Coturnix japonica: one gene and its partners. The protein of the gene in region 3 purifies or fractionates together with the protein of the main gene of each other region. This does not show direct contact. Links are inferred from orthologs where the notes say so. Each region holds a gene or a part of one and is shown on either strand. Other genes may lie near its edges. The genes, in order: HNRNPR, GON4L, histone H2A, PHF14, USP48, NAP1L1 and PPM1G.

Evidence for each region.
Region 1: the proteins of histone H2A (region 3) and HNRNPR purify together in Homo sapiens (affinity purification with mass spectrometry; 3 studies listed by BioGRID and IntAct, with this or other methods). This does not show direct contact. The link is inferred for Coturnix japonica from reciprocal best matches to the Homo sapiens genes H2AX and HNRNPR.
Region 2: the proteins of histone H2A (region 3) and GON4L purify together in Homo sapiens (affinity purification with mass spectrometry; 3 studies listed by BioGRID and IntAct, counting the BioPlex papers as one, with this or other methods). This does not show direct contact. The link is inferred for Coturnix japonica from reciprocal best matches to the Homo sapiens genes H2AX and GON4L.
Region 4: the proteins of histone H2A (region 3) and PHF14 purify together in Homo sapiens (affinity purification with mass spectrometry; 3 studies listed by BioGRID and IntAct, counting the BioPlex papers as one, with this or other methods). This does not show direct contact. The link is inferred for Coturnix japonica from reciprocal best matches to the Homo sapiens genes H2AX and PHF14.
Region 5: the proteins of histone H2A (region 3) and USP48 purify together in Homo sapiens (affinity purification with mass spectrometry; 3 studies listed by BioGRID). This does not show direct contact. The link is inferred for Coturnix japonica from reciprocal best matches to the Homo sapiens genes H2AX and USP48.
Region 6: the proteins of histone H2A (region 3) and NAP1L1 purify together in Homo sapiens (affinity purification with mass spectrometry; 3 studies listed by BioGRID and IntAct, counting the BioPlex papers as one, with this or other methods). This does not show direct contact. The link is inferred for Coturnix japonica from reciprocal best matches to the Homo sapiens genes H2AX and NAP1L1.
Region 7: the proteins of histone H2A (region 3) and PPM1G purify together in Homo sapiens (affinity purification with mass spectrometry; 4 studies listed by BioGRID and IntAct, counting the BioPlex papers as one, with this or other methods). This does not show direct contact. The link is inferred for Coturnix japonica from reciprocal best matches to the Homo sapiens genes H2AX and PPM1G.

What each region holds. Positions count from the first base shown.
Region 1 is NC_029538.1:1,436,150-1,439,649, reverse strand, and holds part of HNRNPR (heterogeneous nuclear ribonucleoprotein R), read right to left. Parts: intron 1,720-3,500; coding exon 1,601-1,719; intron 1,213-1,600; coding exon 1,105-1,212; intron 593-1,104; coding exon 479-592; intron 1-478. UniProt on the Homo sapiens protein: Component of ribonucleosomes, which are complexes of at least 20 other different heterogeneous nuclear ribonucleoproteins (hnRNP). hnRNP play an important role in processing of precursor mRNA in the nucleus.
Region 2 is NC_029540.1:1,770,208-1,773,707, forward strand, and holds part of GON4L (GON-4-like protein), read right to left. Parts: intron 3,285-3,500; coding exon 3,103-3,284; intron 2,599-3,102; coding exon 2,401-2,598; intron 2,033-2,400; coding exon 1,889-2,032; intron 1,621-1,888; coding exon 1,477-1,620; intron 1,186-1,476; coding exon 1,066-1,185; intron 945-1,065; coding exon 831-944; intron 361-830; coding exon 153-360; intron 1-152. UniProt on the Homo sapiens protein: Has transcriptional repressor activity, probably as part of a complex with YY1, SIN3A and HDAC1. Required for B cell lymphopoiesis.
Region 3 is NC_029539.1:24,431-27,252, reverse strand, and holds histone H2A, read right to left. Parts: upstream 1,507-2,822; 5' UTR 1,225-1,506; coding exon 796-1,224; 3' UTR 501-795; downstream 1-500. Other genes in the region: DPAGT1 (UDP-N-acetylglucosamine--dolichyl-phosphate N-acetylglucosaminephosphotransferase), read right to left, coding at 2,093-2,158. UniProt on the Homo sapiens protein: Variant histone H2A which replaces conventional H2A in a subset of nucleosomes. Nucleosomes wrap and compact DNA into chromatin, limiting DNA accessibility to the cellular machineries which require DNA as a template.
Region 4 is NC_029517.1:23,815,324-23,818,823, reverse strand, and holds part of PHF14 (PHD finger protein 14), read right to left. Parts: intron 939-3,500; coding exon 668-938; intron 92-667; coding exon 1-91. UniProt on the Homo sapiens protein: Histone-binding protein. Binds preferentially to unmodified histone H3 but can also bind to a lesser extent to histone H3 trimethylated at 'Lys-9' (H3K9me3) as well as to histone H3 monomethylated at 'Lys-27' (H3K27ac) and trimethylated at 'Lys-27' (H3K27me3).
Region 5 is NC_029536.1:5,714,890-5,719,102, forward strand, and holds the start of USP48 (ubiquitin carboxyl-terminal hydrolase 48), read left to right. Parts: upstream 1-1,413; 5' UTR 1,414-1,472; coding exon 1,473-1,606; intron 1,607-2,128; coding exon 2,129-2,249; intron 2,250-2,421; coding exon 2,422-2,572; intron 2,573-3,697; coding exon 3,698-3,825; intron 3,826-4,213.
Region 6 is NC_029516.1:34,434,298-34,437,797, reverse strand, and holds part of NAP1L1 (nucleosome assembly protein 1-like 1), read left to right. Parts: intron 1-482; coding exon 483-585; intron 586-3,012; coding exon 3,013-3,154; intron 3,155-3,500. UniProt on the Homo sapiens protein: Histone chaperone that plays a role in the nuclear import of H2A-H2B and nucleosome assembly.
Region 7 is NC_029518.1:95,322,792-95,325,038, reverse strand, and holds the end of PPM1G (protein phosphatase 1G), read right to left. Parts: intron 2,053-2,247; coding exon 1,923-2,052; intron 1,805-1,922; coding exon 1,702-1,804; intron 1,266-1,701; coding exon 1,065-1,265; 3' UTR 501-1,064; downstream 1-500.

The DNA of each region.
Region 1 (3,500 bases), on a different chromosome or scaffold from region 3:
CCACCTTCCAGAATAAGAAATGAAAAGCATTTCAAAAACAAAGAAGATACGATCCTCTCAGTGTAGCGGTTTCACTATCAGATCATGACAGCACTGAAGATGTGTTTTGTAAAGACTGGTGACTATTAACGAATTATTTGCTGTCATTGCAATCTAAGCTGACCTCTTCAAAACTTTGCATGAAGTATCCTAATGCAATTCACTCAAGTCTTTACCTTCTTCCAATACAATGCATAGAAATATTTGTTACTGCTTACTGAATCTTCCCATTATATCCACCTGCTTTCTTCTCCTCAAACAATGATGCATTTTTCCTGCAGAATACTGAGGGCTAAGACTAAAGAAGGAAAATAGAGATGCAAGCTTTCCTCTGCAATGTTTTAAACTTTCCCTCGCAGTATAATTTATTTGCCAGTCTTTCTAACAAATGACTTTCCACAAACACACAAAATAATGGCGTTAGTCTGTGCATACTAACCTCTGTTCCAATACCAGGCTGAACACCAGAATACACAGTATCTGGAGGAGGGCCCCCATATTTTCTCTGTCCTGTAGTTACATCCAAAGTGTAACCAGTCCTCTCTAGCAAAGCCTGAAAAAAAATGGAAAAGTATTCACAATATAGTTACACACAGAGGGTGGGGGCCACAAACAACAGAATCTGTTTCTGAGGTTACTGCAACCCTTGTTTTCTGTTTGCAATATCTTATGTAGTGGCCAAGGAACTCCAGAAGTTCTCACTAGCTTTTGGTTTTGCACAACAGAAAGACCATGTCTTAACATATTCACCAACTCCAAGACTCAGTCTTGTTGGAATGCCCAATTAGTCTCAATTTTATCAGCTTGTACAAACTAGTGTAAAAAAGACAAGATAACTCTGAAACAGATTATTATTCTTTGTGAAGTTCATGCCTGTTGGTAATTGTGCAATCAGGTACATCTACATTTCAAGCAAGTATTCTCTCTTTTCAATCTTGCATACGTTCCTTTAACGTGTGGATGCTCTTATCAAAGCAATATTGATGCCTTCCAAGCATTAAGCATTACAATTCCTTCAGTCTGCATACAGGTAGTACAAAACAATCAGTGTTTTCAACACGTTACCTTGATCTTTGCTTCATCTGGTCCCTTTGTTGATTCCTGTACTTTGCTGCCTTGTTTCTCTCTTTGCCTGTAGGTCTTCATAACTCCACATAAAAATGCACTTTTGTTCTGTAGATACAATTTACAAAAGAATTAAATCGGGGGTATGAAAAGCTCTGGGAATATACCAAATCCATACCGTGAAGTCACTAGATAAGACAATGCCAGGTACCAAAAGAATCCTCTTGATAAATGCAACAATTAACTGATCAAACTAATAGGCATGGAATTTCAAGCTATATTTTTACCTTATGTTCTCAAAAGCACTCATTGTTATTATCTGGGAGCTTTAGTTTTGCACGCAAATACCCACAACATTTAGGGAAACTTTTAAACAGGCCCGTGATCTGGGTTTGAAACATACAGAACATGAAAAGAGTTTCTACGTATCAGCTCTCCTGCCAATAGCGCACACTATTACACTTATGTGCTCACACTTCTGGAGCTCTCACCTTACCTGTACATGCGACAGGTCACTTTCTTTAAACTGCTGTAATACAGAGAGGGCTCCTTCTTCATTAAATTCCCTAAGAGCATCAATTGCTCTTTCATCAAGATCGACATAAGCTACCAACCCTAAAAGTTAAAGATAAAGAAGTTACAGATTTCTATTAAATGTCATGCAAGCTAAGAACTATGCAGTTTGCTTTTAAAAGTCCATAACAGAATTATATATTTAATATAATTACATATTCCTACACAAGTATATGAAAAAATATGAGTACAACAATGAAAAAAGTTAAATTAAAATGTATATACCTAAGCATTAACTGAAGTGCGAGATTACACCCCATGTGTAACAGCTTTCTAACATTCGGAAATCCAACAGACAACTCTGGCTCTCTTCTAACAATTTGGGTTTTGTTTGACTCTTAAGATTCACACTTCATTCTCTTGAATGGAGCTGTTCTAAAGTAAGCTGACATATGAACATTACACGTAACCTAATGTATGTGAAAAGGAACTCTCTAACTGAAGATCAAACACTCACAAAGCGCTACAAAACATTCAATAGAATGGTTTGGTCACTCTTTCCTCCTTACTTCAAAGAGCAAAAATCAATAAACTGCTTATGCCTAAAAATTGATTGAATTTCACTTAGTTTGTTGCTCTGTGCAGTTCGAGAGCCAGAATTCAAAAAGCTTCTGTTTTGAGCCCTCTCAATGTACCCGAAAAGGCTAATGTTAATTTTACAGGTACAGACTCCCCCAAGAAACACTGGACCAGTTCTGAAGCACTTTTCCTGTTTCAGGATCTTTAACAGCTTTGTGGGGTTTTTTTGCTCTCCCCTTTTGCAATGCACTTGCACAAGCTGTGGAGTATGAGGACTTTGTGTTATTAACACCTGAGCTATTGAAACCACACAGGGAAAATTAGGACCAATAACTCCACATGCTTTGCAACAGCTTGATTTCCAGAATGCAGATGATTTAACTGCTACTTGCTTTCAAAAATGCAAAGTAGTGCCAAGCCCAAGGACTACATTTCAGAAGTGATCCTGCATATCGGAAGGCACCTGTATCTTTCAGATGAGACCTCAGCAGATTAAAAAACCCAAACTTCAACTTTCAATTTAGCTCTGGTCTCAGAAGCAGAATGTTTCACTGACAAACCCCTGCACAATGTGAATATCTGCGGTGGCTTTAAGGAAATGCAAATAAATGTTGTCAGGTTACTCATGCGATGGAATTATACTAGGTAGTTTGGTTCTGGGCTGAAAAGCTTTTAACTCCCTTGAGAACTCCTCACGACACAACCTAACTAGCACACAGGTTAGACCCCACAAGTTCCTCTGTCCAGGCATTTACTCCTTCTCTCAAAGCATCCAGTGTACATCAGCATGACCCACAGTTAGAAAGTGCATGGCTATGCCAATAAAAGCTTGTCAAGGCTCGATGAAAGCTCACTGTGAATGACTTTCAAAAGGCATCATTCACATGACCCAGAATGTCATAGTGATGAAGGGATAAAGTATTGGTTTTTGAACTGCCTTCGTTTCATCGGTGGAATTTTGACTCTTTTCAACAAAAAACTGTCATCGTGCCACCAAGGCATTGAAGATAAGCACATAAAGCAGTTCTACTGCTTCTTATACATTTGTTCACAGAACACGCTCTAAAGAGAAAAAAGAAGCTTCTGTCTAAGGACAAACTAATACGGGAGGATGGGATGTTCTAAAAATCAAATAGAGAAACCTTGGTCTATAAAGAAACCTTTCCTCTAGCAGTTGCAGAGACCACTTGCTACCAGCAAAATATTACTCAATTTGCTAGATAGCTTAGTCCTCATTTGGTAAAAAAGCAGTTAGGATCAAAGTGAACTTCTCAGTGGACTGACAGACATGGGTTAAACTGTCC
Region 2 (3,500 bases), on a different chromosome or scaffold from region 3:
GAAAGCCTTTCTTGAAGTGAATGCTTTGAAAACACCACATTTAAAGTATCTCAATCATCTCCATTAGGAGAAATTCCATGCTTCTTTTCATCTATGGAAAAAGGTTCGGAGATAAATGCTAATAACCCTCTGTATACAGGATGTTCACCCACCTGCAGGCAGAGGGTCCCCTTTCTTTGACACGGTTCTTGTTCTGCTCTGGACATCCTCTCCCTCATCTCTGTGCTCTAAGTTTTCTTCTGCAGGTTCTTTTGACGTTCCAGAATCCTTCCCTTCAGGCTGAGGACTCGATTCTTGCTGAACAAGGCTGGCACTCAGCTCCTGAGAATCTTTGTTTTTATAAAATTTATTTTCACACACCTGCAAATGAGCAAATAGGCATCTAAATACAGATGTAGCAGATCCAACTAAATCCAACATCTCAGCCTTTGCTTTCAAAGCATTACTTGATCTTAACTAGGGCTTCAGTTTAGCAGCATTTTTGCATCAAGGAAGCTAAATATTTTCCATTATGAATAGGCACAGTTCTCACACAATAGCTGCAGAAGCATCTTTCAGAAACACACACAAAAATGCTTATTTTATCTCAAAGAAACACCAAAACTGACGAAATTTAGTACAGCAAAGTAGGGCAATTGAAAATGAGCAGGAGATAAACCAGAGAAGGCCAGACAAAGCACACTGAAGAGGAAGGCAGGATCGGTTCTTTGCTCTCTTCCCCAACACATGATACTTCACGCATTAGACTTGAGTCTGAAAAGCTCATCACAACAGTGAGGCTCTTGGCAGAATTATCCCCTCCACCCACCACACTAAAAGCTTCACCTCACCTTACTGCTACAATGGCTGCAGTTCCTCCTTTTGCTTTTCTTCAGCTTGAGTTCACCGCTCCCTTCGTGGCAGGAACACGAGCATTCCTTCATCCCATCTCCCCACTCAGCCTCCTGCAAACAGACAGGCTGCAGCTGATCAATGTGCACTGTATACACAGACACATCTATCCTCATGGGCATGAATTTGCCTGGAGTCCAAATACAAGGACTAATGAGATGCCCCCAGGCCCACCTTGTCATTGTTCTGGCCTCCAATTTCTTTACGCTTCTTATTTTTGGGGGCTGCATGAATTTTAGGTGGTTCATCCTCTTCTTCTACATCCGGCAAAGACACCTCTTCAAAGCCATCAAACTAAAAGAAAACAAAAGAAGAACTGCTCTATCACCAAAGCTCTCCAGAAAACCAAACTTCATTTTCCCTGTGAATTTCTAAATACTGAGATCAGTTCCAGTGCTCCACCAGCCCAGTTGTGTTAGAAGAGACAAATGCTGTATAAAGATTTTAAAGCTTTGCTCCTGTCCAACAACTTTCCCACCCTGATGCCTCCATTGCTCTGGAAACACAGCCATGATTGGAGTCTTTCAGGTTCAAACATTTTTATATGTTCTTATATTTCCTGGTTCTATGAAAACATCACTGTACCTCATATTCCTTCTCTTCTGTCCAGTTGATTTCCTCAAAATCCCCCATGCGACTGGCTGAGGGCCGTAAGTGGTCAAAGAACACAGAGAACTCATCCTGCAAGTGGTCGTGTCCTTTCAGCAGTTGCCACATTTGGGTTTTCAGCTAAAAAGAGAGAAATCCAGAGAAAAATGAGCATTTCATTCCACATCATTACACTCTTTAAGAAGGATTTCTCAGGGCAGGCAGAACCATCAAGGCTTATTACAACTCCATTGTATTAGCTCAAGAGTATTTTGAGATCATTCCATACACAGCTGTCAAATTAGCAAAGAAATACCACTACAACGTGCTGCACATGGGAACTGAGAAGCAGGATATCTCATTGCTTCTCAGGGATTTAGAGGAAGGAGAAACCTGAATGCCTCCTCACCTCTGCAATCTCCTGAGGGAGGCAGTCCACAGAACTCTGCAGAACTTTGATGATCTTTTGATGGTGGGCAGGATTTTCAGCAAAGCAGATTTCCAGCTGCCTGAGGAACTTGCGGCTCTTCTCAAATGCTTGCTGCTCTTCAAACTGATTGAAAGAAAAAACAATCACCCCCCTCATGAAAAACAAACCTCAGAAGGAATTTAACAGGTGAAACTTCTGTCTCACGGGTGGGAAAAGCGGAAGGCTGACAAGGAAACCATTCCACTTGCTGTATCTGCCCATGTCTCTCTATGGTCAGGTTCTGGGACTGCAGGGGGAAGGTTGATTGATTCTCCACGGTCACACCCAGGATAAGTCTCATAACAGACACCAGACTTTTCAATTCCAACTTAATTAAGCAGAAGGTAAGCAAATGATTTACCACCTGTCTTTCCTTGCCCTGGGGAAAATTCCTCATTCTTTCACTCCCATCAGCATTCATGCTGTCTGCTTCATTCACACACACTACCTACCAGCCCACACTCCAAAGCTTGTTCTGGCAAAAGAAAGGCAGCAAAGTCTGTGAGCAACTGTGGCCAGTCATGTAACAGTTTCTGTAAGGTGAAATATAGATCCACAGCTGTTTGCTTGTCCATGCTGATCTCAAACTCGTAGATGACACGGAGGAAGTCTTCATACTTCCCAGGAATGTGCTGTAGTGCTTCACGCACCTGCAAAAAGAACAGCAGATCTTTATAGGATTGTGTGACACCCAGGAAGGAAAAAGTAAACATAGGAGTCTCTGATCTCTTGCTACTCAGCATTCTTGCAGTGCTCCCAGTATCTCTGGGATAAGAAAAATCTCTTCCTTTAAAGATAAAAGCAGACTACTCACAAGGAACAAGGGAGCCAAACCCAAAACCATGTAATTCTGAATTTAAAACTGACCCAGTGCTGTGGGTTGACCCCAGACAACAGCTGAGCATCCCCACAGACACCAAGCAGGGCAGGGGAGAGAATAGGAAGAGCAAGAAGAAGAAAACTTATGGGCCAAGACAAAGGATTTAGTAAGTAAAGGAGCACCATGTGAGGTGCTATGAAGAATGGCAGCTCCATCCAGGCCAGAAGCAACACCCACAGTTAGAAATGGCCATTATGCTGCTCAGAAATTAACTGCGTTTGAGGATTCAAAGTGTCTGTGATTCCTGTCTGGGGTTACAACTGTTCTGCCTTACCCTGGTCAGATATGCTTGTGCAAATGCCAGATCCTTCTGCTCCCTCAGGGGGTCCCTCTCCAGGATGTTTTCATCATACAAGAGGAGCAGCTTTGATGTGTCTTTACTTGCACGTGCCCGGCCCCTCTTATTTCTGGCTCTGTGAGAGCTCCTGCTTTTCCCAGGGGCTTTCATGTTCTCTCCTGTGAAGAAAAACATAGTAAGTCATACACCCATTTTTCATACGTTCTCTTGGCTGGCAGACAACTATTCCTCTATACTAACACTGCAATACAGAAGCAGCTTTTTCAGAGTTGAGGTCCTCACATAGTGATCAGTGAACTGCTTACATCCTCCTCTAAGCATATGAGCAATATACTTTCCATTAGTGTAATACTACAGTGGAATGGAAAGTACTG
Region 3 (2,822 bases):
GCGTTTTTAACACTTGCACCAGCCTTGTCTGACATTTGGGCATAAAATACTTGAAGTACTAAATTGGAGTTTTGCTTTTCTAAGTTTACCTGAGTTGTAAAATCTCTGTGAAACGCGTTTAAAGGGTTTTGTTGCGAGGAGAGATGTAGTAGCAATTGTTCTCCAATTGCATTTAGTAACAAAGCACCAAATACAGGTTATAGTCAGACTAAACAGGGGCAGTGCTGGAGTGCTGCACTGTGCTGACAGCACAGAAGTGTTTTCTGCTAAACTAGTGAAATTGTGGATATTTGGCCCTGGTATCTTCAGGAATGCTGAAGGAGATCAGCATTAGGTTCCCAGTGCAACTACATAGATGTAGAATGAGGACAGGCATTGATATACAGTAACTGGCAATCTTTGTGCTGAAGCATAAGAAATTTGCCTCTAGTTCATGGTTGAACCATCGTGTTGCACTGCCATGTTGCAGTGCCTTACAGAAACATCAGAATAACCCATTGTTGGGTTCCGGTTTTGGAGCTGAAGCATCGTTTATTTCCTGTGCAATGTCTGCTGAATGCAGCAGTCACGTTGTGAGCACCAGGTGTCTTTAGGAAGAGCATCACGTATCTGCATTATGTGACTGCACTGCAGTATCACGCCGTGCCTCCCGCCCGCTCCCATCGCAGCTCCCCCTCGTTCCCGCAGCCCCCGGCCGTCCCTTCCCTCGGATCGCAGCTCTCCCGGTGAGCAATGGAGCGGCCCTGAAAAGGGCCTTTGTGTGCTGGTGGGGGAAGGGGAGCCCGGCCCGGCGGCCTAGTATTCCTGCGACTGCTGCCCGCCGCCCTTCTTGCCGGCCTTGGCCGGGCTGGCGGCGCCTCCCGCCTTCTTGGGCAGCAGCACGGCCTGGATGTTGGGCAGGACGCCGCCCTGCGCGATGGTGACGCCGCCCAGCAGCTTGTTGAGCTCCTCGTCGTTGCGCACCGCCAGCTGCAGGTGGCGCGGGATGATGCGCGTCTTCTTGTTGTCGCGGGCCGCGTTGCCCGCCAGCTCCAGGATCTCGGCCGTCAGGTACTCCAGCACGGCCGCCAGGTACACCGGGGCGCCGGCGCCGACCCGCTCCGCGTAATGGCCGCGCCGCAGCAGCCGGTGGACGCGCCCGACGGGGAACTGCAGCCCGGCCCGGGAGGAACGGGACTTGGCCTTCGCTCGGGCCTTACCGCCACTCTTACCGCGGCCAGACATGGCGCCTCGCAGGGACCGGACACACAACGCGGATCTGCGGAGCTCTGCGGCGGGACAAGGGGAACGCGCCTCCGCCCCGGCGCTTTATAACCTCCCTCAAGGCAGGGCCGCGCTGATTGGACGGCGCCACAGCGCCTCGCTATTGGAGCTCTGCCGCCTGAACCTCTTTGCTGACTGGCTGGCTTGGCGCTCACCTCCCACCTATTGGCGGCGGCGACGGACCAATCAGAAGACAAGGCGCCAAATTCGTACCACGCGGCGGACGTTGGCGCTCACGGCCGGGTACGGTGAGGGGGCGGGGCCACGTGAGCGGGGGGCGGGGCGAAGCGCCGGCAGGGGGCGGGGCCATGTCACAGCGCACGTCAATGTCCGCAAGGCAGAACCGAAGATGGCAATGTACCTCGAGTTCTTTTATTCTCAGAACGCCCTGAGTACAGGTACGATTACAGCACGTCATTCTGCATCCATGGACTCATTCATGAGCCAACAGGGCAATTCCAGCTCACTTGTTCTGCCGTACAGCCTCACAGACGCTGCAGTTCTTATTTCTTCTCTCAAGGAACAGCAACATGTTTCTTACATTTAGACGTTCCATTTCTCCTGCTTTCCCTAAGGACTCTGTACAGATTCGTGTTGCTTATTTCCCATCTGAAAGGTGTTCCCGGTAGCAAGGACATGCAAGCAGTGCTGACTGTCAGCAGAACAGGACAGAGACGCTTTGTCCATAAGAAGAGAACTGTGATTCTAGGCCGGCCTGGAGCAGTTCCTCGTGTTTTGAAAGGTGGCTTCAAGTTTTCAGATCAAAATATCAGATGAATTGAATTGTTTTAGTACAGTTCACTGGAAGGTGCCGCTCCTGGAAGCTCAGTCAGACATCATAAAATAAGCGCACCAGCTGGTACCGCACTGAAAATGCAATCATGCTGCCCAGGACCTAGGATTAAAAACAGACAAATAAATCACAGTAATAACCAACCTGAATCTGAAACCTTACATCAGACAGTTCACTGGTCAGCAGGTTCTTCCTTTACAGATGGATTTGATGTGCTTTAATACACGGCCTGTTCACTATGTAGCACTGTGACCTGACTCAAGACCAAGCTGTATGCGCTTCCTATTCCCTTCTGCCAAAGATGTACTTGGCCCGAGCCCCGCTCTCTCTGTTGGAAGTCTTCTGTTGGAAGGGGAATTTAAGTGCTTTTTCCTAAGGAGAAACTCTTACCTTTGAACTGACACTGAAGAAGGAATTGTAGGCAATTAAGCTACGTCTTTTCTGAAACAAAACATCTACCAGGTAAGAGTTCACGCATTGAGTAGGAGTAGCAGCACTATCTGCAAGGTATGTTCTTGCATTCTGAGTTGCTTCAAAATGTTCCCACACCACACTCAAACTCCAGCTACCACTGAGTTGCATGCCACACTTACGTAAGGGCACCAGCTGGAGATAACACCGGTACTACTGTTATTTGGTATGACTGAAACACAGAACTGCAATAAAAGGCTGTGCTGTGTTAGAGTGACAAGGCAAGAACACAGTGCTGTTTTTCCAGCTGTTCTTCTAGCATCCAGGCACTCATGCTCTGAGGAGTTTCTCAAGC
Region 4 (3,500 bases), on a different chromosome or scaffold from region 3:
TGAAGCTTTTCTTGCTCGTTTTCTAATTTGTCCTTGATATTCCTCTGCTCAGCCATATTCTCCTGGATTTGAATCATGCGCATATTTCTCTCTATTTAAAAGAAAAATTCATTATTTTCTAGCCTTGGCTATATTTTCAAGTTCTACACACTGAAAAAAAGTGAGGCAACGAAAAGCATAAAACCATTGTTTTGTTTTTTGGGTTTTTTTTAAAGCATACAATTATAGGTTTATTACACAGCCTCAGCAGAATGAACATCTTAACACTGACTTCTTGCTGCATACAATAACCTAGTACAGTTACTTAAAGGGTTATCTCTGATCAGCTAATCTTCTGTGCAGTCAATGTCAAAAACATGCCATTCCACATGTAAGGAAAACATAAAAGAGATACTAAAGGCACCTAAACTTCCAATCCCTTCTTAGAAAAGATACTACTGCCTGTTTGTATTTGAAAGATGGTTTTCTTTTCCCAAAATTCTTAAAAAAGAAAAGTCATCAACATTCTGTATATTGGGCAATAAGGTTTCTGACCAAAAATGAAAAAATAAAAAATAATAATAATAATTCCTATTTGCCTATTAACAAAGAAATACAAGAAAAGAAAGTACAAATACATCAAAACAATTATTTTTCTCTGAGAAGAATATGTACTTTCAATCCTTACCAAGGTAGTAATTGACAAAATCAGCAGTGAGGGCTGGTTGTTTATGCTTTCTTCTTCCATCAACACTGGAACTAGTATCTGAAGTATCAACTGGAAAAATGTCTGTACTAATTCCCATTAATTCAGCTTTGCGCATAAGCTTGCGAATGGCTGAAGCACTGCTAGTGAGTGGCCGTGGTAGCTTCTCCCTGGGAACCCAGGCCTGTGGCCTGGTGGTACGAGCCAGCTCTGCCTTGGCACGATACTGCTGTAGTCTGGCATTGATTCGAGCCTACAACAAAAACTTCCATGAATTAAGAACATAAGGGAACGATTCAAAATCAACATTTCTGAAAGAGTCTGTGTCTTATTTTCAGTTTAAAAGTTGAAGAATCTAACAAATACTTTTTTAATTACAACAATTTGATTCAAGAAATACACTAACAGACATGTGAAGTAAAATCAAAAAGCATACTTCAATAGCATTACCCTTCCAATAGGTTTCAGAGGATTTCACAGATTCCTTGATGAGGCTACTCTATTAACGTCAATTATTGCTGGCTTTCAGACAGTCCTTCCCAAAAATGATAATATGATGGAACCATGAAATTTCATTGGGAAAAATCTTTGCTGACCTACCAAAAATACATTAAGCATGGCCAACATGTCATGGAAGCTGATCTTTCCCCTCTACTCTGCTGTAGTGAAACCACATATGAAGACTTGTGTACATTTCTGGGATCTTCAGTTCAAGAAAGACAGTAAACTTCTAGAGAGCTCAACAGAGGATGAGAAGGATGATTAGGGGCATGGAGCATCTCCCTTCTGAGGAAAGGCTGAGAGACGTCCTGCTGTTCAGTCTGGATAAGTATCTTAAAATGATATGTATCTTATCAATACTTACAAATATCTACAGGATGGGTGCCAAGAGGATGGAGCCAGCCTCTTTTCAGCAGTGCCCAGGAACAGAACAAGAGGCAATGGGCACAAACTGGAACACAGGAAGTTCCATATGAACATGAGAAAGAACTTATGTACTTTTAGAGTGATGGAGCAATAGAACAAGTTGCCCAGAGAGACTGTGGACTCTCCATGTCTTAAAGCATTCAAAAACCACCCAGATGCATTCCTGTGCAACCTACTGTATGGAACCTGCCTTAGCAGGTTAGTTAGACTTGATAATCTCCAGAGGCCCCTTCCAAACTCTATGATTCTGAAGTTTATGTGAGCAGTAAAATTTGGTGAACAGTATTTTTGCCATATATGACATTCTTTTGTATGAACACCTTTTTCAATGCCCTCTCACTTCACAATGTTAAACTAGTTTATTTTAATCTGCCAAAATCTTAGCCCAAAGGGAACTGAAATCAGCAGAAGCTCACAATACTTGTTGTTGATGACATCTGTATATTTGTGACCATCTGGGAGATCAGACCCAGATCAATCAAGTTGTTGCTGACAGTTGGAAAAAATTGTCTTGTGGGAACTCTATGCAGCAGTAAGTCTGGCAGAAAATGACATCAATATACAAGCCTTCTGAGGCAAAACTTCAGCTGACTATGACTTAGAAGTTGCTCATTTGCCAACATAAAGAAACAGCTAACCCAATCTGACTACCCTACCATATGGTACGAAATACTCCTGAGACAAAAGCAAAAAAGTTTGCATTTATAAATATACACCACGCATAAGGAACATCTTTGATTCCAAACAGCATTGCTGAAACTACTGTTAAAGATGCAGTTTAATACATTACCTTACTAGGTCACAAACATTAATGACCAAGAAACAAAAGAAATATGCCTTGTGGAACAGTTTTAAGCCCAAGGGCTTTTATCTTGAACATAAACAGCAAGCAAGAGATCCACCTGCAATCATCAACTTGCTTTATTCATCGCCAGAATGAACAAGGATGGTTTATATCTTCCTTGTTCTTGATTCTTCTTTACTTGATGATGTACTCAGTTTGAAAATCTTGAGGTCATTTAATGTCATACAACTGTATTCTCAGAGCCCAATTCCAGAAAAAGCTGACAGATCAGACTGACTAGTTTAAATGAAATTCTCAACTGTAAGAATGGATTTAAGTAAATTCGAATTACTTTACTCAAGTAATGTACATTTCCTTTATTCATATAAAGGAAGTATTTCAACATATACTGTTTTCCAGTAATCAATAGTAGTGCCAGACGGTTATATAACTTAGATTCTTTCTACAGATTTTTCTTATTCTGGGACACAGGACTTGCCAAACTGCTAGCTCAGCTACTCCTGTCAGGGTTAGAAAGCACCAAGCACCACCTTTTTCTCCTTTTGAAATGTGTCTCAAAAATACACTTTCACAGCAACACACATTTTATTTCTACAACTACATACTCATTTATCAATATCTGGAAACCTTACTTAAGCTTTAAAACTCCCATGGAAGTAAGTTTTCATTTTGTGTATATGTGCATGTGTATTCAAGTGCAAGATATGACTTTATATACACTTTGTGTCAACTCCCGGGTCGAACATTTCTGGTATGTATTAAGAAACCTCTGCAGTTCTAAAAATGCATAGGAGCCACTCAATTATCAAAGAATCACAGAATGATCAAGGCTGGAAAAGACCTACAGGATCATCCAGTCCACCCATCCACTGATCACCAATAGTTCTCATTTTTTTTTATTTCAGAAAAAATTCCATACTCATGGAGTCTTGATTTGAAGGAAAGAGCAGGAAGAAAGGAAAATGCAGAGAACTTACTAGCACTAGCAGCACCACATAACAAATGAAGAGTTCTAACCAAAGGTCTAAAAATAGAGCAAGTATGAACCCTGTTGGACTCACAATGATTTTGCACAACCAATAC
Region 5 (4,213 bases), on a different chromosome or scaffold from region 3:
TGGGACACAAGGGGATGTGGTTGTGGGGTGGGACATGATGAGGCACTGGGGGCAGTGGGACAGGACACGAATGCAAGACTGTACGTGATGTGGCATGGAATGGGACGTGAGACATGGCGTGGGGTGGGATATGGGAGAGGACATAAGAGGCATGATATGGGACATGGTATGGGATGTGGGACAGGACAAGAGAGTGGACATGGGAAGGGGACATATGGTGCTGGGATGTGACATGGGGCAGGACGTGAGCAGCAGACCTGCATGAGGACTGTGGGGTGCTGCGTCCTCCTGTTCCCACACTCACATGCCCCCCGTTCTGCAGGCGGTGCCCCAGACCCCCGCAGCCTCACAGCCGGCAAGTTCCTCACCGGCGTGTCGGGATGTGTGCGGGGCCTGGTGCTGGCGCCCGCGGGGACCCCCCGGCACCCCACTGACCTGCGGCACGGCGTGGTGGGCGGCTCTGCCGTTGCCCCCTGCCCCTCGTAGCCCCCCTCCTACCCTCCCACAGCTCGGGGGGATTAATTTTGTCGGGTTTATTATTATTTTTCCAAAAAGCCACGAGAAAAAGGTGCTTCGCTGCCCTGGGATGGCTCCGGGGGGGCCGGGACCCCACAACAATGTTTACACCCCCCCTCCCCACTCCCGACCCGAGCCACGCTGGGGCGGCCGGGCCGCTCAGGTGCCTCCTGGGGTGGTACCTGGGTGGGGGGCGCAAGGGACAATCGTGGGAGTTGGCGGGGACGGCGGGATCCCCCAACCCCCCTGTGCTGGGACAACTATTAAAGGAGAGAGAACCAGCGCGGGGGTCGGGTGTGGGTCTGTCATTGAAATGGGGCACGGGGCTCCAGGCCGCACTGGGGGCTGTTGTGGGGGTGGGAAAGCTGCTGTTTGGAGCGGGGGATGGAAGCGTGGGGTGGTGAGGGGACACAGGGAGGTGCGGGTGTGGGGTCCAAAATGTGTCAGAGCCGGGAACAGCTGCTTATGGTGGGGGGATGTGTGGATTCGGGTGTGGTGTGGGGGGATCGGGCGGGCGGCTACGGGGACACGGGACAGGCCTAAGAGCACGGGAGGGACCGGAGGGGTCCCGGGGAGCCGGGACACAGACATGGAAGGTGTAAGGGATCCAGAGCGGAGGAAGTTGGGCGTAGGGTCGGAGTAGGGATGGAAGGGGCTGTAGGGCCATGGGGGCGGTGCCTGGGGCGGGGCGGGGCGGAGCTGACGGCCGCGGTGATCAAACCGGCCCGACACGAGCGGCGCCGTACGGCTACAGGGCGGCTTAATGGCGGCCGGAAGTAGGCCCTGCCGGAAGCAGGCTCCACCGGAAGTAGGCCCTGCCGGAAGCAGGCCTCGCCCACCGCGTCGCGCGGGATGCGACGTCAGCAGCTCGCGCCACGTCGGGCGTTACCGCGTCGCGCGTGTGGCGTCACGGGCCGTGACGGCGGCGGGAGGGGCCGGGCGGAGCGGGGGCCGCGATGGCGCCGCGGCTGCAGTTGGAGAAGGCGGCCTGGCGCTGGACCGAGACGGTGCCGCCCGAGGCGGTGACGCAGGAGCACATCGAGGCGGCCTACCGCGTCGGGCTGGAGCCCTGCCAGCGCGGCACCTGCCGGTACGGACGGGCCCGCTCCGAGCTCCCGGCCCTGGGCCTCGCTTCCTTCCCCCGCCCTTGTTCCCGCTCCCCGCGCTGCTCCTCCCTCGGCTGCTGTGCGGAGCGGCCCTCCCTTCCCTTCCCTTCCTCTCCCCTCCCCCGCTCCAGGCCCTGCAGCACCGCGGCTCTTCTCCCGGTCCCTCCGTTGTCCCCCCCGCTCCCCGGGCGCTCTCTCACGTTACCCCGGAGATGGGGGGGTCCCTCCCCTGTCTGTCTCCGGATACGCGGCTCTGGGGAGCTGGGGGCCCGCGTCCCTCCCTCTCCCCCCTTTTATTCTCTCAGCACACCCCCGGGGTTCCCTTTCCATCCTCTGCTTGTGGCTTTCCCAGTTCTCTCCCAGCCCTGTGTTGTGGGGAGGTGTGGGGCCCTGTGAGTCCCCCTTGTTGTCCCCACAGTCACCTTCTCTCCCCGTCCCCCCATCTCCCACCCGAGGGGCTCTGTCCCTTTGGTGGTTGACGGATGGTCTTGGTGCTGTTCCTGCAGGAGGAACTGCCGGGGGAACCCCAACTGCCTGGTGGGCATCGGGGAGCACGTCTGGCTGGGCGAGATCGACGAGAACAGCTTCCACAACATTGATGATCCCAACTGTGAGCGACGCAAGAAGGTACAGCCTGCACCCTGCCCCAGGATGAGGCGGGGGGGACACCTCTGTGTTGTGCCTGTCCCAGCTGTTACTGGGATGCACCGTGACTCGGCTGCTCCCACCCCAACTGCTGCATTTCTACTTGCTTCTTGGCAGTGGCAGCTGATAACTGTTGCTTTCTTTGTCATACCAGAACGCATTTGTGGGCTTAACGAACCTCGGCGCCACGTGCTACGTGAACACTTTCTTGCAGATGTGGTTTCTTAATCTAGAGCTGCGGCAAGCCCTCTACTTATGTTCGAGCAGTGAGCACACAGCTGGGGAGAGCATCCCCAAAGACAAAGGTCAGTGGGAACTTACCACAGCGTTCTCTTTTTGGTGTGAATGAAATGGTCTTCCTTGTTTTCTTCTAAAACCTGGCGGCGTAGACTTTGAGAGTACATTTATGGTGTGAATCAGTGGCTGATGCTGCAGCTGGTGGTTCCGTCTCTGTGAGGCTCTTCAAGTCCTTCACTCAGTTTTTAGGAGCAAATCAAGCTAAGGCATCCTTTATCATTTCTCAAATTGCTGTGATCTGATGTGGTTGAAAACTCCTTGGGTTTCTAGTCAGAAAGCTGCGCTTGGTGCCACAGATGGTGAGGACTTAGGTGCTGGGTGTGAGGGGCTGTGGTGCTGCACCTTCTTCATGGTGCTGTGCTGGAGTTGTGCTCTGAGCCACCCTGTTTTTGAGGTGTGTAGCGAACAGCATCTTGTTGTTTGGCTCAAGCTGTTTTCTGACAGCTTGTGTTGGGTGCTGCGAGATGTTTGGCCCGTGCTTGGTGCTGTGTGGGCACCCAGCAGCAGCTCAGCTCTGATTGCTTTGCTCACTGCTCCTTCTCCCAGTGAGATGAGAGAAAGAAGTAGAGCTCATGGGTAGAGATAAGAACTCTTTACTAAGGCAGAAAAGGAAGGAGGAAATGACTGTAATGATATTTTACTGAGTATTTATAAAACAAGTGGTGCACGAGGCAGCTGCTTGTCACCTGCTGATTGGTGCCCAGAGTAGTGGCTTCCACTCCAGCCTCAGTTTTCTAGTTGCACATGATGCCATTTGTCATGGAATATCCGTTTGGCTGCTTTAGCTCAACTCCTGGTTCTGTCCCTCCCAGCATCTTGCATCCTCCAGCCCTCTGCTAGCAGGGCAGAAGGAACAGCTGGAAAGCTGAAATGTCCTTGGCTTTGTGCAGCACTGCTCAGCAACAACTGAAACACTGGGATGTTATCAGCATTATTTTTTCTCCTAAACATAGCGTTGTACCAAACGCTGTGGAGAAGATGAACTCTGTCCCAGCTGAAACCAGGACAGTTAGCCCTCATTGCTGACATTAACCGCTTCAGATCTCATGATGGTTTAAAACAGCGCTACTAACGGGTGACTTTTAGTTGTACAAGTTAACCGTACAAAGAACAATTTCTATTTTTTTTAATAGACTATGAGCCTCAGACCATTTGTGAGCATCTCCAGTACTTGTTTGCCTTGCTGCAGAACAGCAAAAGGCGATACATCGATCCCTCTGGGTTTGTCAAAGCGCTGGGCTTGGATACAGGCCAGCAGCAGGTAGGCCTGAGTCTTGTCTGTAATTACTTTCTCTAAAGAAGTGTGAAACTGTCCTTTTAGGTGTTATTTGAACAATCTCTGAGCTGGGATCTGCTGCTCAGCCTCATTTGTACAAACACAAAGGGAGAAGAATTGCTCCAGGCCCTCCTTGGGGCAAGTGCAGGAGGAGCAATGAGACCAGCACCATTAGCACCTGCTCCACAAGCACTGAGCATGCTTGGGAGTGAGCCAGGACCGTGTTTCTCAGATCATTTCCCAGGTCCTTCCCTGGAGCTGAGAGGCACAGGGAAGGGCTTTGTGCTGCTGAACTCCTATGGGAAGGGGGGGGGTGAGGGGGGGAAGAGGGGGAGCTGAGACCCCAACGGGATGAGAGCTGTCTGAGGTCCTG
Region 6 (3,500 bases), on a different chromosome or scaffold from region 3:
TCTGTAATCAAGAATATGTCAGGCTGAGCTGACTGGATTGCTTTGCTGTTCGTTTTGGTGGTGGTGGGTGGGGGGGAAGTAGCTCTAATGAGCAATTATTATTTTTCAAGACAAAAGTATATAAGCATAGACTTGTAAACCAGTTCAGTACCCAGGTCTGAAGCAGTCTTGTTTATCTAAAATGGAATGAAAATTGCAACTTTTGTTTGTATTGTTTGTAGTAAGGGGGCATGGTTTAGTGGGAGGGTATTGGTGGTAGGTGGATGGTTGGACTGGATGATCTTGGAGATCTTTTCCAACCTCTGTGATTCTGTGTGATCAGCACATCTGAAATGGAGACACTTTAAAAAAAAAATTCTGCCTGTGTTTCTTCTTAGAATAACAGGAAATTCACTTCATATTTTTTCTTAGTATTTAGATCTCTTTCAAGCCTTGTCTAGAAGATATGCTCTGCACTTACAGAATTTTCATTTTAATTTTAGCTCGACAGTTGACTGTGCAGATGATGCAAAATCCTCAGATTCTTGCAGCTCTTCAGGAAAGACTTGATGGTCTGGTAGGAACATCTACAGGATATATAGAGAGGTAAAATGTTTGTTCTAATTCAGTATGAGGAGAGTGATATAAATGTGCTTTTGCTTCCTGAACAATATTGTCTTTAAGATTAATCATAAACCACTGCTCTGCCTAGGTAGCAGGAAAGTAATATAATCAGGAATTGACGCATTTCAAAACTGAAGGCTTTCTGTTTGAGCCTTTTTGAAGTAAAAAATGCAGAAATATTTAGTGGCAGATAATGTCACGTGCAATTGCAAAATGTCATTCTGTCCTGCTTTTATCAGTATGTTCCTTATCATGACATCATGCGGCAAGCTGCTGGGCGCAGATTCAGCACTGCATTGCGGAGCTGTATTTCCTGGTTCACTATAGCAGTCTCATGTGAGTTTTTACACTCCAAGGGGAAGATACTGAGATGTACTGCATTTTCCCAAGGGCCTCCACATGATTTCCAACTCTTGGTGATGAGGAAGAACTCTCTTGTCTTTTCTAGGAGGACAGCCGTGAGGTTCTGCTGATAAGGACTCTGATTCTCTCTCTCCTCTAGTTTTATTTTTTTGTTTGATTTACTGCTCTTAGTTATTCTGTATTATCTCATGCTCCTTTTAATAAATTTGTTTCTCTTATCTCAATCAGATTTTTTTTCCCCTCTTCCTCCCTCTGCATTTTGCCCAAGGGGAGGGAGAGGTGTCACGTGGTTAACTCTTCAAACCATAACACATAGGCACAGATATTTTCCCAGAATGTTTTCTCAGCTTTGCTTTAATTTGAAACATGGGCAAGTACGTGGTCACTTGTGGTCATACTGTAACCACAAATTGGGAATGTTGTATCAATACTTAATGTAGTCTCCTTATACAATTTGAAACAATCTGTTGCTTACTAAAGTTTTCTTTACTGCATCTGCTATAACAGATTTATCTATCTCCTTTGTGTAATTTCTAATTGTGTGAACTTCTGACCATATGCACAAGTTGTAAAGCACAGAACTATCTGACTGTGATAGGATCCTGTGTTGCTATTGATGTTATCTGAGATGGCTACTGAATGACTGGATTTGCTGCTGCTACTCCTACCACTTTCCTGTATTACAGGCAGTAGCATAGAAGAAAATACAGGCAACTAATAGCCTACCCTAATAACTACAGGCCCAGGAAGAGCATGGAGTCAAAGGAGTACATAGGTTCTCTACACTGTTCTATATGCTGTACACTAAGGCTTTCTATATCTAATATGTTGATTTTTTGACAGTTATTAATTCATCTCTCCTAATCTTTCAAGTCCTAGCTGTAAGAAGTGAACAGAAGTCCTACTTCTGTTTACTTGGCATTTTCCCCTGTCAGCTGCTCTTGGAGATACTGCATCATTTCTTCATCTATTCTAAGTCTATAGTTCTTTTTCTTGCAAAGCATTGCAGCTTTACCATTAATATCAAGTGCTTGCCAAACTTACAATAGAAATAATAGCTGGAAAATGTGTAACTTTCCTCTGTGATTCCTTAACATATACATGCTGATTTAAGCATGCTTTACAGGGACCTCTTACATGTCTTATCAAATATCCTACTTAAGTGGGGGCTGGTGGCATTAGTAATTAATACGAACTTGCAGTATTTAGTTAATACCTTCTTGGTTGCTTCCACTAACCTGAAGCTGGTCCTAACAGTTTTTCACTTTTTTGCAGCTGTTTGCCATTGTGCTCTTAATGATGTGACCCAGTTCCTTAAATAAAGAAGGTTAACATGGTAATCTGCTGTAGCTATATGCTGGGGACTGGCTCACATCATCAGTGATAGAGGCTGTCACCAGTCTACCCTATGAATTTCACTAACAGTGCAGGTTAATTTCTGCCCCAGCTCTAACTTTGTTAGTGTGGTCTTCTACAAGTCAGATACAACTTTAATCAAAGTTTCACAACAGCTTATAATGAAGGCTGCACTAATTGTTTGCCTGTAATATGTATATAATATGGTTTTGGCTTATTCTGGGAGACTGTTAAGGGACAGCAGTGATAGCTTCATTCCTGAATAAACAAAAATAATGGTTGTGAAGCTTGACTTCCTTAGTGAAGTAATAACTCAATTGTCTTGAATGTTCATAAAAACAAACAAGTAGTTAGCTCATCCTTGATTGTGCTCCATGTTAGCAATTTGCCATGCTGCTTGGTGGTAAGGTAAAACTTGCTGTCAGTGTGAAGCTTTACACAAGTTTGCGTATTCAGAGACTTGACTTTTTTTTTTATTCTAAGTCAGGTTATACCTGTTTTAAGAGTCTGTGTTAAGTTTATTCCACATGGTACAGTGGGTCGTAACTTTGACTTTTTTTGCAGTTTTCTAGTGTTTAAAGCAGTGTGAAATCCATTTTGATATGTGTTGGTGAAAGGAGCTGGTTAATGAGAGGTCAACATGTGCATAGAATGCAATGTTCGTAACAGTTCTGTCACTGTATTTTTCAGCTTGCCTAAAGTTGTTAAAAGACGTGTGAATGCTCTCAAGAATCTTCAAGTTCAGTGTGCACAGATAGAAGCAAAGTTCTATGAGGAAGTTCATGAGCTGGAAAGAAAATACGCTGCTCTCTATCAGCCCTTATTTGACAAGGTATTTTAATGCTTTTCTTATTTGTATTTAAAAGCTTTAGTTAAACCAAAAGGGAATATAAACTGAAGCTTATTTATGTGTTCTGAATTACCTTGGTCTCTAATGTGCCCATTCAGCTGAATTTACACTATTTTGCTGTCCATGTGACTATCAGCTAAGATGAAGTGTTGTCTATTCCATGGCTAACAAAGTCACCTTAGTATATTAGGCCTCATCGTATTAACTGAGCAGATGTTAGGTTATGTGGTAACCGTTCTTGCATGTTGGTTCTTCAGTGTATTGAAACACTGGTAACTGCTGAATCTTTCTAGAGCAAGAAATTGTTTGGTTAAGTAGACAGTACTTT
Region 7 (2,247 bases), on a different chromosome or scaffold from region 3:
CAGTTCCATCTCAACGCAAGTTCCCAACGTGAGATCAATGTCAACCTTTAACAACCAGCACCAAAACTGAAAACGGACCCTCCTGAGACCGATACCTCACTGCAGGAACCAGACAGACAACAACCGACCCTCAGCGGGGCTGCAGGAGCCTGCTTTGATGGTACAGGGACTAAAGCAGTTCCAGCTCTGAGCATGTCATTACTGGGCACTTAATGGAAGCACTTCGGGTAAGGGCCACTCGGGCAGGGTCTTACCTTGTCATAATGATGGGAGTACTCCGGGCTGGTGAAGGATGGGTGCGAGGTGAAGGGACACAGCAGCAAGGGACAGCAGAGTTCACTCCTATAGGAGCAGCAGCATTGACACAAGCCATACAAAGCTGCCCACAACCCAGCGACCCTCGCGGTGCTTTGAGACGCAGGGAGAGAAGTTCCCTGCCTTCCCACCTGCCTTTTCTTCCCCCCACCCCAACTACCAAGGAAAGGACCAACGACCAGAAGTACAACCGTGTTTTCCAGGCTTTTTTTAGTTTGAAAAAGGTATTGATTGAAAGTGTACAACAGCATGAGGTGTGGCGGCAGCACCACAGCCGGATTGGTTCACAAATAAAAACAGAAAAGGGCCTTAAATAATTGGGTGCAGATTTTAAAAAACCTCAACAAGTGAAAAAAGTTCTTTCCCTCCGGAACAGAAAAGTCACAGGCACAGAAATGGCAACAACCACATGGAGACAATGGGGGGGTAGGGAGGGGGGACCATCCTTCTAACCACAGGGCTCTGTGCTAAGAAGAAGCTGCCACTTGATGGTGGGCTCCCACGTCGCGGCTGGTGGCTGCTCCCGCGTGCAGCTCTGCCCTTGGCTTCACTCTTTGGAATGGTTACGGATGAACAGCGCCACATGCCCTCGCTAACCAGACCCACCCCCCACCCCCCACCCCGGACACGGACAAACAAGGCCTCTGCTAAGGCTAAAAAAAGGACAAGACTTTGTGGAGTCTTGAGTTCAGCATGTTTAAGAAACGAGAGTCTGGTGAGCGCACAGCACAGTCCCTGTGCGAGGCTTGTTATTCCAACTTGGCCTTCTTCTTATCGCTGCCGTTTTCCTCTGCTGGTGCTGCCGGTGCTGCCACGTCGTCCAGTTTCCTCTTCCCACTTTCAGCAGGTGGGTGTGTATTGCGGGGTTTAAAACTGATAATGATGCAGGTCATGTTATCGCAGCCAGTGCCGTCCCCTGAAGTGTCTGGAGCCAAACACTGATCCAGCAGCTGAGGAGGGACGGGACGGGTTAGCACATAGCAGAGGCGCGACACTTAGAATAGTCTGAGACATTGGGCCCCTTCTGATAGCAGGGTAGGTAGGGGCTGCCAGCCCAGAAGAGCATGGGCTGGGCTGGGCTCAGATGGTGTTTACAGCCAGACAAGGGACAGAACCAGCCCTCGGTATCCCTGGCTTCCTGAAAGTGGACAGAAAACTCCCTTGGCTTGACAGCAACTTAGGGGTCAAAGACATTAATTAAGGTGCCAAAGGAAGTGGACCCTAATTCAGATGTGACTCTGCTCCCATAACACAGCCAGTGTTGCAGCCCACATGCTGCCAGATAACTCAAGCTCTCAACAAACTGGCCTGATGGAGCTGGGGTGCAGAATCACTGCGTGCCAATGGGATGGTGAAGGCACTGATGGCGTGAGCTCTGGACCTTACCTCTTCTACGATAGAGGAGAGCGGCCTCAGGACTCCATTCTCATCCTTTTGGGTGATCTTGGACTGGATGAAATCCACCACCTCCTGGCTGCTCATCACATTCCTGAAGAATGGGAAGGTCAGAAGGGTTATTAGCTATGGGAGCTGTCACACCACACTGTCCCAAGAGAGAAAAATCAGGGCAGCGATGACCCAAGAGGCACAGCTCTCTCACTACCTACCAGATTCCATCACAGGCAATGACCATGAAGTCATGGTCGTCGTTTATTGTCAGTACTTTGATGTCAGGCAAGGCAGAGATCATCTGTTCTTCTGGAGGCAGATTCTTGTTCCGCTTGTAGAAGTGATCACCTGGAGAGGAGGATGGATTTACACAGCTGCTGGGCACTGGTAACACTGCCTAACCCTGAGCAACAAGGAACACTACCCAGCCTTAACAGAATTGACACTGGTGCTCCCATTGACAAAGCAGATTTGACTGTGGGGATATCAGACAGAGAAATCTGCCACACATTCAGAGCACGAGGTGAGCCCACCATGCTGATA